2 linked regions of the Neodiprion lecontei genome follow. The protein of the gene in region 2 interacts with the protein of the main gene of each other region in a pairwise test. Links are inferred from orthologs where the notes say so. Each region holds a gene or a part of one and is shown on either strand. Other genes may lie near its edges.

Evidence for each region. The genes of interacting proteins can lie anywhere in the genome.
Region 1: the proteins of pumilio homolog 2 (region 2) and brain tumor protein interact in a two-hybrid assay, tested with the Drosophila melanogaster proteins (2 studies listed by BioGRID, with this or other methods). The link is inferred for Neodiprion lecontei from reciprocal best matches to the Drosophila melanogaster genes pum and brat.

What each region holds. Positions count from the first base shown.
Region 1 is NC_060265.1:8,528,006-8,536,367, reverse strand, and holds the start of brain tumor protein, read right to left. Parts: upstream 4,494-8,362; 5' UTR 4,043-4,493; intron 1-4,042. UniProt on the Drosophila melanogaster protein: A NHL-domain family protein that functions as a translational repressor to inhibit cell proliferation.
Region 2 is NC_060263.1:23,973,965-23,982,399, reverse strand, and holds the start of pumilio homolog 2, read left to right. Parts: upstream 1-3,019; 5' UTR 3,020-3,839; coding exon 3,840-3,923; intron 3,924-4,250; coding exon 4,251-4,472; intron 4,473-4,635; coding exon 4,636-4,764; intron 4,765-8,065; coding exon 8,066-8,209; intron 8,210-8,435. UniProt on the Drosophila melanogaster protein: Sequence-specific RNA-binding protein that acts as a post-transcriptional repressor by binding the 3'-UTR of mRNA targets.

The DNA of each region.
Region 1 (8,362 bases), on a different chromosome or scaffold from region 2:
ATCGGAATTATCGGAGTCCCGTGTTCATGATTGAGAAAATTAAGGATCAGCATCGATTACAGGAACGTTTTGTAAGAGAATTAAGTGTCGCTTGTACGATTGGTCATCGTTTCTAGACAAAGCTGTTTATCGAAAATCCGTGCTCAACACACGTGGTTCCTGAGGGCTTACACGCATACCCCAGTCCGGGATGCTGTGTGTACGAAGCTCGGTCGAAAGCGCGGTGTAAACATTAAAGAGGAATTATCTAGCATAATCTTGAAAGACGCCGTCTTCGGGCGCCTCTTATGAGCCAAACAAGTAGCAGCCGACGATCTCCTAACCAGAAAGCCTGATAGCTTGAACAAAGAATATTTAATACCGGGTTGAATGGAGGAGGAGGTGGTATGAAGTTAAGGCGAGGCGAGGCCTGAGCAAAGGCTTGTAAATTACCTTGTGTGCAGGTGATTATGGTAATGTAACTCCTCGCATATACACGCCCCGCTATTAGGGACACATTTGAAACCGTATTTATAGCTATCCACACAGCCGTTAATAAGCTGTCTTTGATCTTTCCTCATCCGCGATAAATACGCACCTCCGATTACTTGATAACCTATTTTAATTGCTTCAAATTTTCCCCGTTTCATGTGGATTTTACACGTTGCTGGACATTTTTCACTCCTTGGATTTACAAAGTGTGTAACGTAGTTACTTTCGTTAGGTTTAAAAAGAGAATCCGTTCAACTTGTTCGATGCAAAAAAAAAAAAAAAAATACGCACACATTCTGATTGGTTGAATATCAAGACAATCTATATTATTATACCGGCTGCGGGATTTACGAATAAATTTACCGCACAGATACGGCAATGAAGTTGCATCGTGTAAGAAGCGTTACGAGTGGTCAATTTGTCAGTGTAAGGTATCACGTTTTCTTATCTGATATATTCTAATTGTCATGGTCGGTTGAGGATTAATCGTCCTCACCGTCTGAATCAAAAGTTAGGAAACCAATGATAGTGAACACGAATAAAAAATATTTACAGGTGCCTACTGTGTGACTATACGTTTAATGTGATTGATTTTCAGACAAATGAACCCAAAAACAGTAATAATTGTATCGTATTGGATTTGTCTGATTGTACATTTTTTTTCAAATTATTGGCATTTTAGCCAATATTTTGTTCAGGTGTATTTACATTACTATGAGAGGGATATTGTTTTATTTCTTGAAAGAAGGGGTGTCCTGATCGAGAATCCGGTTCACATTTACGATTGTCACGCTGCTCTGGAATTATGTATTTGAGAGTTTAAAACAGTGAAATTCCCAGCTCAGACAATTGATTTTCCAATTTCTAAAGACAAACCGAGCCGATAAGTGGTAGTCTCAATATTGAAATATAAGAGGATCGGGATTCTCACGCAACATTCGTTGAACAGCCAGGAATTTTCCGAACAGTAAGAATCCTCAGGCAGACGAATAAAGAAGAATAAAAATTTCAGTCGAGGTACTTTCTGTCGGTGTTAGTCAGCTTGAAAATTTCTTTCTTCTTACAGAGGTAGAAGTAAGCGGCTCACAATCGGTTTTCTCGCGTTGTACACGTAATGCTCCTATGAAAAGGTTGTCTGAAGACGATATTAAGATAAGGGCTTTCAACTTCGTTGGGTAATGCAATGAAGCGTGGGGTTTTTTTAAGCCTTTGTTTTGGAGAATTATGCGTGAAAACTTTTGGACCGAACGAAAATAGAAGCGGTCAAATGACAGGAAAAATTGAAGACGAAATCAAGCCGTCACGCTTTTTCGAAAATTTTCACATTCTTCAACCGCCTGAATCATTTTCCTTAGGTAATTGGTTCACGCTGAAGAATGATCGACGAACCGTTAAATCAATGGAAACGGTATGCGTGTCCGTGGAATCTTTCCAGAAGGTACAACGAAGGGCCCGTAAGTCTCTGACCGCAATAAATCTCTTCGAAATGAACTTGACTCGGAGACACGGTCGAACGGAGCCGAAAGACTTGACCCCGAATGAATCTCGCCTGTAGGACGGTATTTTAGGCGTGAAAGGTGATCGAACCCTTAAGTCGCTGGAGACTCGCCAGACACGAAAATGAGAAAAGTTTTTGAACGTATTTTCACGGGCGAGGGGAAAAAAGTGGAAAATAAGTAAGAATCGAAATCGTTGGGAGAAAGCGAAACAATAGCTGCAGACAACTTCCGTTTCTAACTCTCGCCATGATATTATGGAATAGAGGGAAAAAGAAATCACGCTATTTCCCGTGTATTATACCCTTTGAAGCCACAACTTCGGTATAATAATGGCGACGTAGCAAAGCCCTCGTCTCGGTTCCGAATGGCTTCCAAAAACTTTTCTTGTTATTTTCCTTTCTTTTATATATATATACGTATATACATATATGTATATATATGAATACAGATTCCGCGCGGCCGTGTCTTCAGAAATGGGCGAAACAAGATTTGAATCCCGCGGTAAAAAGTCTCGAGGATGAATTTTCTAGGCTGTCTGTGTAAGTAAGTTTGAACCCCAATTTTCTGGACTACAGTGAAAAACTTTTAAGAGGTGGTTCAGAGTGTTTTTTTCCCCAACGAATTTCTTCCGCCGAGAATATGAATGTATAATATACGTATAATATACGGTGAGGTGAAGGTGGATGTTCAAAGCTCCGAGTAATTTCCTTGATTACATGAAAACGATAGAATCGGAATAAACTACGAAAGCATGACTGTAAAATTCGTCTCGGAATTCGGCGCGTAATTTTCATGCGTGGAAATGCCATTCAAAAGTCTCGCACGCCTCACATTGTCACGTCGCGTAACCGAGGCTGTAATTATATTCCTCAAATCGATAGCGTACGCGGAATCGATACGCTCGGGTTCTACGGAACATGACGTTTCTTTTGAAGTTCAAATTTAATGAACAGCTAGTCGACAATGCGGATTGAAAAGAGGAAAGGTCGGGTTCTTTGAAAGTTAAAATGTGAAGACTGATGGTAACAATGGTGGGTAAAAATAAGTTATAGAATTCTCACGAAAACGTTCACCAATGCTTACGGAACAATCGGTGATATTGAATTGGCTACTTAGAAAATACAAAACAGCTGTTACAATTAATTTGTAAAAAGGAAAGGCTTTTGAATAAAATGATTTATCGTCGTTTCGTCGCAGTTTGAAATGAAATATCGATACATATTAAGCTTTTCTTTATAATCTCACTATATTTTTGTATCTTCGAAGAAATAATCGTAACCTGCGAATATGATTATTTCGAACTCGATTTAAAATAAAAAACAAAAGGTTCGATTCTTGATTCGAGTTTTTAACGTGAAATGAAAAATTGACCGTGCAAAGGTGAAAAGTTGTTGGAACTTTTGAAGAACGTTCGTGAACATGAAACAAGTTTTTTTTTTTTTTGATTCGAGAAGCATCATTCAATTTCACAGTAAGGTACTTGAAAAATTTCAAACATCAATCGAAACACTCGAAAGTGATGTTGAATCAATTGACATTTCTCGGTCGGTTTTCTGAATAGTCGATACATTTTACAATTGGTATACAGTTTGAATATATCTCTGTCCTTTGTTGATAACATATATAAAAAAGATGACATAAACAGCCTCGAATCGTATCTGTGACCTTTGAAAGAAGTAAGCTTTCGTAATTATTAAACGGTACTCAAGTCGCAAGCTCTAGATTGGATACCACGCTGTTTCGGTGATGGAACCCACCGACGTTTATAAAGTCAAGGTCTCTGGCTACACCGAAAATCGCATTACATATAATTGCGGAACGCTTTTTGTTTACCGTTGGAAATATGCCCGGCATGAAATTCCTAAAAGCAAACAGTAAAATCGAGGGAATTTTCTCGGCGCCTGCACGCCTAAACCGATTCCGGAGTCGGTACGTGCTGTTTGGCGATAATAATTGGCAACGGCTCACTTCTCTCACTAATACGCACGATGGGGATTAAAAATGATCCAAGTTTCGACGAGGCAACGACCAGCGGCCCGGCGAACGAGCAATGACCTTGAACTAGAGCTTACCTCGTAACAGCCATCCGTCACGAAGCATGGAGGCGTCTCTTTGTGCCAGCGCTGTTTTCTTCCGTGGCCGTGAGTGAGGAGCTTTCGGTATGCAGCCAACCGCACAATCACGTCATTCCATAGCTTGCAGCCTTTGTAATTTGGCACAACGACGACGAAGAAGCTCCGTTCCGCTACTAACAGAGCCACCACCGTCTGAACACGTGAGAGAACTTCACACGTCACTCTATTGAGGATGAGGAAAGTTGGAGAGCGGACAAAAGGAACAAGAAAAAAAAAGAAAAGCTAACAACAACAAGAACAACAACAACAACAACAACCGCGAACCGAAAAGCAAACTCTCGCAGCGTTTGAAGTTTTTTTTTTTTTTTGTTCTCCTTCTTCACCCGTGCTTGCGAGCACTTTCAATCTTCGTTTTACGCTCGAGGTCTATCGATATGTCTCTTTGGCTCACCTGGCTTGGCCAAGTCGCGTGTTCTGCGTGTCTGAAGCGCGCAACTGACGCCAACGACGCCGGCGACGCTGCCGGCGTCGGCGTCGCTGCAAGCTCAGGGGAGTGCTTTAGAAGTTGGGCGCGTGCCGCGCGGCTCAAGCTCCAGCGATTTCAAGCCTCTTCATTCTTCCTTCGACTCGGATGCTTTTTCATCCTTTTGTCTCTTCTCGTTATGTTACACAACGTGTTTGGCACGCTGGGCAAAAAATAGTTGGCTGGACCAGGAAATTTTTATGTTAAGAGGATGCTGCAGTCAGTCTTTACCGACCGAGTAAATAGCTGCTTATTTTTACCGTTATCAAAGCCTGCGCAGCTCTGATACGAAAATGCTCGAAGTCAGCCCAATTATACTTGCAATCCGAAAAATTTGTGGTTTTATTATAAAATAACTCCAGGAAAAGTGTTTTTGCAACGATTGGTAATTCAATTAAAGCAATACATTTCTTGGCATTGTTGTTGCATAAGATAAAACTATTTTTCAGATATTTGTATTCGGAATTGCGCTGACTGCGGTATTTTTTTACCAGTGATGCGTAAGCATTGACAATGGTGAAAATGAGTGATATTTAATATAGTCACAGCAAAAAAAATTTGTTGCAACAGGTGAAACCTTGCAAATTAAACTAACGAGTTTGTTACATTAAAACTCAACTTAGCTGCAAAACGGTTGATGTTGCAGTGAAACTTTTTGCTTCGATAAGTAAAATTCTTTCTGTTACCGTACGTTAACACTCAAATTTACTGACCCAGCGAATCATTTATTCCGTGGGTCCAGAAGTTTGCGATGATCCGCGTTTTTCTTACAAATTGTACCTGAAGTGCGGCGTGTTATGAGTATCCCATTTTCTTCTAAAGTCTTATCTGCTTATACAATATGCATATATGCTTGCTTCCCGATTAATTATTTCATTCTTACAAATATTTGCACCAACGACGATACCGATTCTTACCGGAAATCGGTTATCCCAGTTCCATTCACTCTGATTTTACTCAAATTAAATTCAATATCTTTTTCTCCTGTTAGTGTCTATTTTCCTGAAGCCGAATCGTCTGCGTAGGTTTGGTTAGTTTACTTTGGTTATTTAGAACCACACAAGAAAAACCCTTGTTTTAGTTGAGTGCAAAAAATTTAACGTCACGATACATAGATGAATTGAGACAGAAAAATGTTCATTCATTTTTTCATACCATTCTCGACAAAAATATAGGCTATAGCCTAATTTTCAAATATTCCAAGGGAATTGAAAGGCAAGAAAAATAAGCGTTCTATAATATAGCAAGCGAATTTCCTTGGTAAAAAAATAAACCTATTCCACGCGGTGTTTTCGTGTTTGATTTGAATGGAGATTAATTGCCCTACACATCAGGTTCCTAATTCTCTTGGTGTTGGATCTAGTCTATTCGGTGTCACCTTCGCGCTTAGATCTTCCATGCCAATTTGTTCGGTGTAATCCATCAACGTAGATCCGATGTGAATGGAAGATAAATAATAAATCGAACCGGAATTTTACATCGTTATTATTATACTACCTTGAATAAAAAATAAGACAAAATGAAAGGAGCCAGATCCCCGAATCAAAGAGTCAGAGACGTATCATTAAAATGCAAAAAGGTCAATCGATTCCAGGAATCGATTAGATTCCGATCGCTGTGTGGCGTGTTTGAAAATTTTGGATGATCATGTAATCCCCGATGGATTTTCAGGGATTTCAGAACGCTGACCTTAATTTATACCGAGAACCCGAATCTGGACTATTCAGGATTTTGAGTGGCATCCTGGATTAACGTAGGATTTATGTATCACGCAAAAAAGAAATATTTCCGATCGACGAAATATTGCGAAATAACAGTAATTTGTTTTATCAAGTAAAATTGCGCTGATTTCTATTAACCCAACATTTCCTCCGGCATATTCGGTATGAGGTTTAAGAATTTTTTCTTTTTTGGTTTGAAAAGGGGAATATCAGACCTCCGGATCAATGATTTGAAACTTTTAGGGGTGTTTCTTTGGCCTGATATATGAAGTTGCTGATGTGTAGTTCAATCCTTTGCTAGATACACAATACATCGGATTGTCGAAAAGTTGCAGTTTATACTTTATTGTGCCTCTGAAATAATAAGACATCTGTTTAAACATGAATCTATGAGAACCTGTAATCGATACTTCAAGGTAAGACAATTAAAATTATTATTCCAGTCAAAAATATACAACAGGTTTCGGTTATTAGGTCATTTCACTCATTAAACTTTAATAATCTTAATAAATTTTAATCTGAGTGAAGAACAGCCTCATGGGTAGAACTGCACGTGAGAAGCTTTAATATATTTTCTGGCAAAGAAAATTGCAAAACCCTTGCGAAAATCTGATAAATGGACTGGTTTTCGGTCATCACGTCCAAGGCACCATTTCTGTAGGATATTACGTTCATATGTAGGTGCTATTATTTGCCATCAACATTTATTTCTCTATTCGTCTCCTAAAACTGTTCTTCAAGTCTAGGTTTCTTGACTAAGGGTTCAAGATTTCGATCGTGTTGAACGACTTGAAAAATATTGAATAACTAAAATCTAAGATATCACGTGAATGCATTCAAACTCAAAATTACTGTGATCATCTGTCGGCATTTGTTTAACTTTCACGAAAATCCGTTAACCAAATGTCTGATACTCCACTTCCGAGGGTGTAAGTCGGGGCTCCGAAGCTTCCAAAGCCGCCTCTGAGTCGCGAAGCTTCCCGAAGCGCTCCGAAAACTTTTGGAGCTTTAGCTGCGGAGGCGCGCGCATGCTTCGGCCCTCTTTCCGGGGGCGGGGGGCGGAGCGGGCCGAATATTGACGCGTACCGCAGGCAAGCCAGGGGTGGCAGGTGGCGGCCGGCAGGTCGACCTGACCGAGCGAGGCCAAGGACTTTGTTGCCGGCGGCCGCCGTTTTTCCCACCCTGTGGATGGCTCGAGAGTAAGGGACTTCGGGCCTTCCGGAAATGGCGAAGAACGGTGGATCGAGTTTTTTTTACAAAATCGATCGCCGCGCTCGCCGATCAGCACCGTGCAACAAGTTCGCTCCGCACAAACTTCTTCTTCGGGTTGCGGTTTGTTGGGTTTCCGCTATTTCTTTGATCCATGGAACAGCGATCACTCGGTAGTCTGCTTTTACGGATATTATATTCTTGCGTTACTTTTCGTTTTACTCACTTCTCCGGACACACATTTTCCGCCCTTTTTTTCATTTCCGCAGGTTTTACAAGTAGCTTTTTCCATTGGGAAGTTCACATTTCAATGATTTTTATACTGCTATTTTAAACGGTTGAACAGGTAAACTGTACATGACGTGATTTATTTGAGTGGCAATATTTTATATTGTGTGAAATTTGACGCGGTCAGAAAGCCGATTTTATACGTACATAATTATGCACAGTTATATACAGTTTGGTGAAAAAAAAATTAGTTTAAAAAAATGATAAAATTTAGGGTCATGAAGTGAAATTGGAGATTCACTTCGATGTGGGAGAAAATTAAAAATCATAGTTTCAATGTTTATTTATTAATAATTAAAGATAGTCGGAAGCATCATTTTCCTGCCAATGTGTTCTCTCGGCCTAAAATTTCTAATCCATTATTCGTACAATTTTTACACATCCACGAGCATTGGAATTATATATCATACTCCCTTTTTGATGCGAGCTTAAAGTCTAAATTACTTGCTACGCAATTTCCTTCGACACGGACTTTTTCTCAAGACGTCTCGTCTTAACGATAAGCAAAAGAAAGTGTAAAAAAGCTTAATACCGTCGAATTTTTGCCAATCTTCCATCATATTTTACTTTAAGTCT
Region 2 (8,435 bases):
AATCCCCTAGGTTATTATCACATGTAAACGCATATTTAATATTATTATTATTATTATTATTATTAATATTATTATATCTAAGATATTACCAGGATATTGTACTATTCTGGACCCAAATAAGAAGCTTGTAAAGTAGATGTTTCTGTATCGGTATGCTGAGTGCAATATGGCAAAATGATGAAACAAATCTGGATTACTATGTTTATAGAAAAGCTCACAAATACAAGTAAGAAGTGAATGACTAACCGTCGTGTTCCTCAATTAACGTATTACCTAAAACACATCTGTGCACATGAAGCAGAACCAATATCGAGAAAAAATTAGGGATGATTTACGCGAGATATTGACTGGAAAATTATGCATTGTCGTAAGCTCAAATTTAATATGCAATGGGTTGAATCACGAACGGAAATAGTACATTTTTCGTTTGCATTTCACTTCGATGCTCCTTTCGTACTTCAGCTGCTTTTTAAAAAGAATAGAAGAAAGTTTCTTTAATCAGTAAATTATCGAAATTCTATCTACAACTTGTTTACAAAAACATGTTTCACAGAGTGTATAGAGAAACATCATTTTTAGAAGCTTCTTACGGATGTACCCTAACGTAGAAACTTAGCGTATGTCCAAAGCCATAGTGCCTACACAACAATTATCAGACATTTCTCAGATTGTAAATACTTAACATACTTATATACCAAGATCGCTACAACAAAATGAGAGACAGAGAACCATAGCCAACTTCTTCATTGTGGTTATAATAAGATGTGTTAATATATATATATATATATATATACGTACAATATATGTGTATATATATATATATACACACACATATACATACATATATATGTATCAATTAGTTATTTTTAATCATTACAATAATTATTGAATTGAAAAAAATGTTAGTTTATATAGTTACTTATTATATTGCACTGTAATCAAATGCTATGGAGGGTAATACAGGACATTTTTGATGAGTCCGGTGCTAATATAGGAGACAAAAGTAGAGCAATGCCTCTCAAACGTTGGTGAGTGATACCATTTGCTCCGAAGGTGGTTAGAATTCAATTATTTCGCATCATATGGAGCTGAGCCATTGGGTAGCGATGGTCATTGTCTCTCCATATCCGTCAAAGTGTCAAGTATCACGCTATACTGCTACTTGCTGCTGTAACTCCAGCGCTATGGAAAGAATTATTATAGTTAAATTTTTTCCATATTTAGTAAGAGCATGCTTTTTTTATAAGTACTACAAAGCAACAGGTATTCTCAGACCTGGCCCTTGAATGACCGAGATGTTATCTACATCGATGAAATTAATTTCGAGAACTATAAAGCAACCAACATCGATCACACATTAAAACTGCAAACTAGTTTACAGTGTCGTGTTGCATCGATTTTCTGATTTAAGTCGTTAACAATCTGCAATATTGATTTCTTTCCTTCAGTGATATTTTGTAATGATATATATTTATATTATGCAGTCTGTTGAATAATTTTACCTAAGTATACATCGCGAAAAGGCTAGTTGAGTATGCCCGAAGACTGATAGGATTATCACTTTTTACAGTCAGACTTTCAATACGCTTGACGATATGGGAGAACTAATTTGCAATTCTGCATACTTTCATTTTCACCTGAAACCCAGCTACGAGGAAACGTCTAATTCACAATTGACGTTTTTTCATATACATCCATACCATTTATGGGTTGCCTGACATATCTATCATAAAAAAATACAATAAACAAAACGTTATGAATTGAAATGCACTGAATTATGTGGCTCAGCAAAATCAAATCTGCAAACGAAAAAAGTTATTCGTAGATTTTGAATAGTCGGAACCTCATCGAAATTTTTCAAATTAATGTTCTTTTAATAATGCCGATGTTTCATTTACGATTCGTCAAGAAAACTACATATTTGTAAACGATATTTTCAAAGGTCAAGTCGGTAAAATTTTCATGTCAAATTATAAGTTCAAATATCGGACATACCTGTAGATGCTTAGTTGATTAATTTTCAATTGAACATTTTGTTATTATTGAGTGTGAATTGCTAACGATACAAAGTGAAGAATAAGATAATGTAATAGGTGAAGGTAACGATTTTTGATTGACGATTCTTGCAGATGAACTTGATGTCAGCTGCCTAAATCATTTAACAGACTGCTTGAGGTTGGTTTGGGAAATAACCATAATACCAATACATCAAATTATTCCGATTGGCTGATGAGCCAAACGTTGGATCACCTTGGCTAAACCCTGCTGAACACCAGTACAGAAAGTTATGAAATATACCCTTGTGTAACGTGATGCAAAGAACGGAATGGATTATTTATTACTTCCCAATGTCTTCATCCTCGCCCATCACACAATCAGTTTCTCATTGTGAATACGCACAGGTAAATTGAAAGAAAACCTCAATTTTGAATATCATTAGACTAAAGCCCTGTAGTTTGCAAGGCTTGTTGCAAAGTCGCATTCCCCTCATTGTAGTGTTTCGACAACAGAAGTCAACAAACGGTAACATTAATTATACCTAAAATTAAGTAATCTCTGTGAAAGGAATTAGGAATGAAAGTGTGTCTGAATAAAAAATCTAAAAATTCGGTGTCTAGATTGTTAAGCAAGGCTATTACAAACCGTCATTTCTTGACGTGCAATTTTTATAAACTTGTTACTGCTGTCACGCTTGTGGCAAGGTATCAGAAAATAGAGAAATGTGGATATGGGTGCCAGAATTTTTATTCCATGATACTTCTGGGTCTAATTTTTACTGTCGGGAAAATGAAATTGTCTGTTGTTGTTAGTTTACTGGAATAAAACGCCATTTTTAATCCATCGTTCGGTTGACAAACTGGTTTACTGTGACGGATTTTGAAACTGAAAAAATTGTTTGATTTCAGATACAGTGCTCAGCGTTCACCTTGATCAAGTCTGTAAACCAGGTTGAAAGATGTGAATTGTTGTTTTTTTTTTTCTTTCCTGAACCGGTTTTGTACTCGAATGTAGCATACCGTGCAGGCTTTCGCACGAAGCCTGGTAAGTAAGAAATATCCAAGATTTCAACAGAGCGTAATGATGAATAATATTTCGTCTCGTTACCTAATGGTTTGTTTCGAAAAAAATTCAAACATCAATTTGATCGAGCAAAGAGTCTGTGTCGATTCGCGCGCAGTATTTGGATTGGATCCCGAAGTGCATTGCGACATGGCTGCGCGTGCGCAGTGGTAAAAAACAAAAATGTCGGCAGTTGGCAGCCGCCGTTTCTAGCCGAGAAGAGACCGACAGAAGATCTGGCTAAAATCGCCGTGCATCCTCGCACGCGAATGCCGTATCACGCGTGCCGAAACCTTCGGCGTTATTGTAAATACTTGTGAATAGTGTATCTAGTTTTAGTTTTACGATAAAGTCAGGGTGAATCGATAAAAGTAACCGTGGAAAATCTTGCTTGTGAGTTGCGGATTTCCGCGTATAGCGTCTATCCAACGAATCCCGGAACTGTTTTATCCGATCCCGCGATAATTATACCCAGATAATAATCCACAACCGTGTTTGTTCTACCCTGAAGACCTCGAGGGATGCTATAAATAGTGAATATAGTTTGTAAGAGTCAAACTCTCAAAAATCTCTTTGTGTTTTCGTGTTGTCAAAAATTCGTCCGGGCTGCCATTGCTGGTTGGTTGCCTGCTGCCGCTGTACCCCTCCGTGCTTAGAAATGTCATGCCAGCCGCGAAAATAATGCTTTTAAATTAAGTCATCGTTATCGCGGCCTATCTATACTCTATTTCGGTGTTGATAAGTGTGATTATTCAACGTGTAAAGTGTTTGACAAGACTATGAAGTGGCTACCCGGAGGCGGGGGCGAACCGGCACCCCCCATGCAGCTGCATCACCCCTCTGCCAACGGCCACATACCCACCGTTCGTACACACACACATTATAAATAATTATTAATTAAGATCCCCATAATTTTCCAAACACTTATGCGTCGCCGTTTCGCTACCTTTTCCCATCGCTCCTTCTTTTTCTCCGTCCAACTCTCCTTAAATCGTAATTCCTGAATGTCAATAACCCGGTAAATTTTTCATTTTTCTTCTTTCGCGTCTGTTTATATAGTTGTAAATAATATTTTGTACGCTTCAACAATATCGTTATGATATTACAGAAAATATTCCTAAGATGGCATTATTTTTAATATCTATTTCGTTTTTATACTGGCCATTTATTTTGTCGTTTTTATTGTCCAGGAGGCAGAACAATGCGCTCAAATTATGGCAGGTGGCGATGGGGTTCGTATACAATCTGGACAAATCGCCCAAATGGGTATCGGCAGAACTCAAGATGATGCGACCGTTGGTTACGTTTTCCAGAGACCAACAGAACAGGACTTCATTCCTCAGACTTCGAGCTATCAAACTAAGCAGCCAGCCAGGGCTTGGGCCCTTGCCGACGATGCCATTATCGATAATGTGAGAAATGAAACAAAAGTCTCTAAAAATTGTTCACAATAAAATGAATAATTTGCAATTTTTGTTGATGTGATTTTATTATTCAATTGAAGAAAAAAATATGATCGAGATGTAAATGAACTATTTCTATAATGTTCAGATTACATTTTTGAAATTTTTTCAGAACCATGACAAGTGGAAGTATCCAATGACTAAACTAGGCATACCTCAACAAAGCCAACCTCAGCAGCTTGGCTTGCAAACCATGAACAATGTTCATCTACCCTACGAGTTGCACACCATGCAACTGAAGGTTAACATTGTTTACAGTATATACATGATATAATATTATTAATACCATCGTGCAATTCTATTTTTTATCGCCAACAGTAACAGTAGCATTTGTCACGATTCATTATGTTTTTCAGCTATTTATAATTACAGTTTGAATTGTTATTGGGTTGAAACGTATGAAACCAGGAGGAATGAGACTGCCCTTTGACAGACAGTATAATATTGAAGATTCCATGATTTAAACCACATCATATACATGCCTTGAAAAACTTGATTAAAAAGTACAGAAAGTTTCAAAACGTACGTCAGACGTTTTTACTTGAACAGCCACAGACATAGATTCCTAGCAAAACCTTTTACGTAGCTACGTATGAAACAAAATTCATTACCGAAAAACAAGTAACTACTTTGAATCTGAACTTTTGGTTTCATACCCAACTGCTTCTTGAATTATCTTTTAAAATTGAAGTTTTTGATTTATCTTTTGCTGTGCAAGTAACTTTTTGATTTGAAGACTACATGCTATATTTTTTATTTTCGATGTTAAATTAAGACCCAGTACTTTGTTGCACAAATTATATTTCAATATTTTGAACATTTTTAATGGCTTGTCAATTTTGCGTGTATTTTACTAACATGTTTCTCCCTTTTGTCCTCAAGCACGTTAAAGAGAGTTCTGTAATAGTGCAAAACAGTATGTTTTACCATAAAACAGAATTCAACATCGATTTACGCATATTCGTAATGTCGCCTGTATAAGTTAGTTAGTGCTGAATCAATTCGAAGGCACACTTGATGTAACTCCCAAAATGTTGACAACATGTACTCTGTAGACGTAAATAATATTTAATAAGTAGTTTCTAAATAAACCTCTGAACAAGTCAATTCTTTTTTCTGCATAGCAAAGTTTCCATTGGTTAGCAGTTTGCTACTCGACTAACAAATATTCCAAAATATAATTAATGAGTATTCATTTTTCGGGAATACGTTTTACCTTTTAGACGAAGTACGATTTCCAGAATGGACCTCATTTTAAATTTATATGTACTTGAAAAATTCTTTTGGCCTATATTTCCTGCAAAAAACCTTTTGCCGTGTTTAATCAACGCTCTAGTTGAAGATCATAGTATTGAACAAATAGCGATATCATTAGCAATTAGAATAGCAGAAAACAGTAATTGTTGAATACTATTTATTTCTTTTTACTGAACTATATTCTTTTCTGTTCCTCAAACCCCTTGCACACTCACAATTTATTTTCTCATTAGTGTATCAAAGCCTCAAGTACGTTTTATTTAGATGCATTTCTTATTATTTTGCTGGCTTGTTTCTAACTTATACCTGTATCGAATCATGTGCTTGAAGTTCCAATCGACTTGATCGAAAATTCAATTTAGCGCGGATATTATTTTGCTAATAAATTTTTGATGAATGAATAAAATCCTGGTATCCGTATGTCAAGTGTATGAAATAGTTAAATTAACACAAAATTCTGCATCGATCTAATTATTTATTCCTCAACTCTTTTTGATGAAGTCTAATCAATCAAAACTTTAGGCACGTATCGAATAAATGTATTTCAACATAGATAATAACAATCATGAGTCGGCATGTTTAATGTTCTGATGATGAACTGATGTTCCGTGTAAGTGAAATGCAGAAAAACTTTGTAATGCAATTTAATATGTTGGTTTGCCACTGTTTTCAAATTAAATTCAAATTTGATGCCTCTCGTAATTGAATTCAGTCCGGAAAGATAGGAGTGATTGTTTAGTGTACGGATTAAATCTCCTTTGAAATTGAGTCTGAGTGTAAAGTTATGTATTTTGATTTCTACATGTTTTTAATATGAAAATTTGATGTGTAAGATTTAAGATTTGTAGCAAATTGATCGCAACTTCCTTGTTGAGAAATTTTTAAAGAATTATTTTTCCACCATTGAAGACCAAATGTAACAAAATAGAAAATCATATAGTTGAATTATTTGCGATAATCTCTAGTACGTGAAGCATCGATCTTCAATGCACTAACGAACAGTAGAAATGACTGAAAGTTATGTTTTTGCCATATGTTTGAAATTTTGATGGATCAACTAACTTTCATATTTTATAATTATGTAGTACTGTTGCAAATGAATCTGCGGTGTGTTTTTTTTTTTTTCTTTCTCTCATTCGATCACATCTAATATTTTTAAGAATTATTTTTGCATACACTACTAAAGAGAAATATATTTTCTTCGCAGAAATTGTAATTGTGAACATAATTCTATGTGCTGTTGCTTTTTACGCTTTTTTCTCCTGTCTATTTCAAATTGCTGCAAGTGACGAAGATTTCTCAAAAATTAACATCTTACTCTTGAATATGTTTCTAAATCTTCACATATCTATATCACACAGTATCCTGGTCTCACCTCTTGGATCGTTTTACATTCACACATTTTTACACTACACTTTGGAACGTGATGTATCTGAAGTCTTAATCGATCAATCGTCATTGAAAACTGAAGTCGTCACTAAAATATTAACAAGTTCCTGTTGAATTAACTATGTGCTTTAAGTTTAGAATGTTCATTTAAACGAAAAAATTATATCAAGCTTATATCAACCTAGTTATCAAAGCTTCTTTTACTGTGTACGACGGTCTTCTCAAAATTCAGTACAAATCGATGGATTTGTAATGTAATTGATGGAAAGAAATTGGCAAAAAAACGTCTCAACTCGAGGCTCATTATTGTATTAACTGATATTCGTTTCTTAGTAAATTTAGTATTAGGGACAACTTGACTTTTCAGACCAGCTTCATCGATCAAAACTGTAGATACTTAAAAACTTAAGACACTGTATTATTGACAATATTCGTTTGATACGCACCAGTTCTTTCAAAATGTAACATCTCGTAGGCTGTGTATGCATTATCATTATCTTCTTATTATGTTGAATTAAAAAAAAGTTACTTGGCAATAACACTTAAACTGTGACTACTTATGCTACTTCTGAGCAATTGTCAGCCTTGATAATTTCAATGCAAATACATTCTTAAAGAGTTAAGATTTGCAAAGATTCTTGCACGATATGAAATGAAGGCTGTCAAAAAGAAAATCACTTTGCAGATTTCATTTCACGATCTTGTTGATGAAAGTTTACCAATTAGAAATCTATTGAATTCTATTCACAATAATGAGTGTCCGGTGAATCTCGTTCCTAAACTGAGTTTTAGTTATTCCTAACATAGAGGAAGTGACTTTTTCACTTTCCTAAGACTAAGTGTTGATTTCCACCAAGTAAACTCAATTTTCATGATTTGGTTTGGTATTTTTTCAGAGTGGTGGTCCAGGGGCGGAGCATTTGGTATATCTGAACAATCAGATGGCGCCGCAGCATCAGGTTGCTCTGTATCATCACCAGCAGCAACAGCAACAGCAGCAACAACAACAGCAACAGCAACAGCAATTCAGAAATGGCCAGGTAAGTTTTGTCACTTTAAATATCGTATTTCAGGCCGTAGCACCTGCGATGAACATACTTGTTTATACTTCTGAATTAATACTTGGCAATGATAGACCAAATATTCAGAACAACTAATGACGCTCTGGATGATTCTAATCTGTTACTAGATATAAATGAATATGATTCCACTTGCCTTTCGATTAGGATTAAATTATTAAGGTGGATAATGCAGTGAAAAGAGTGT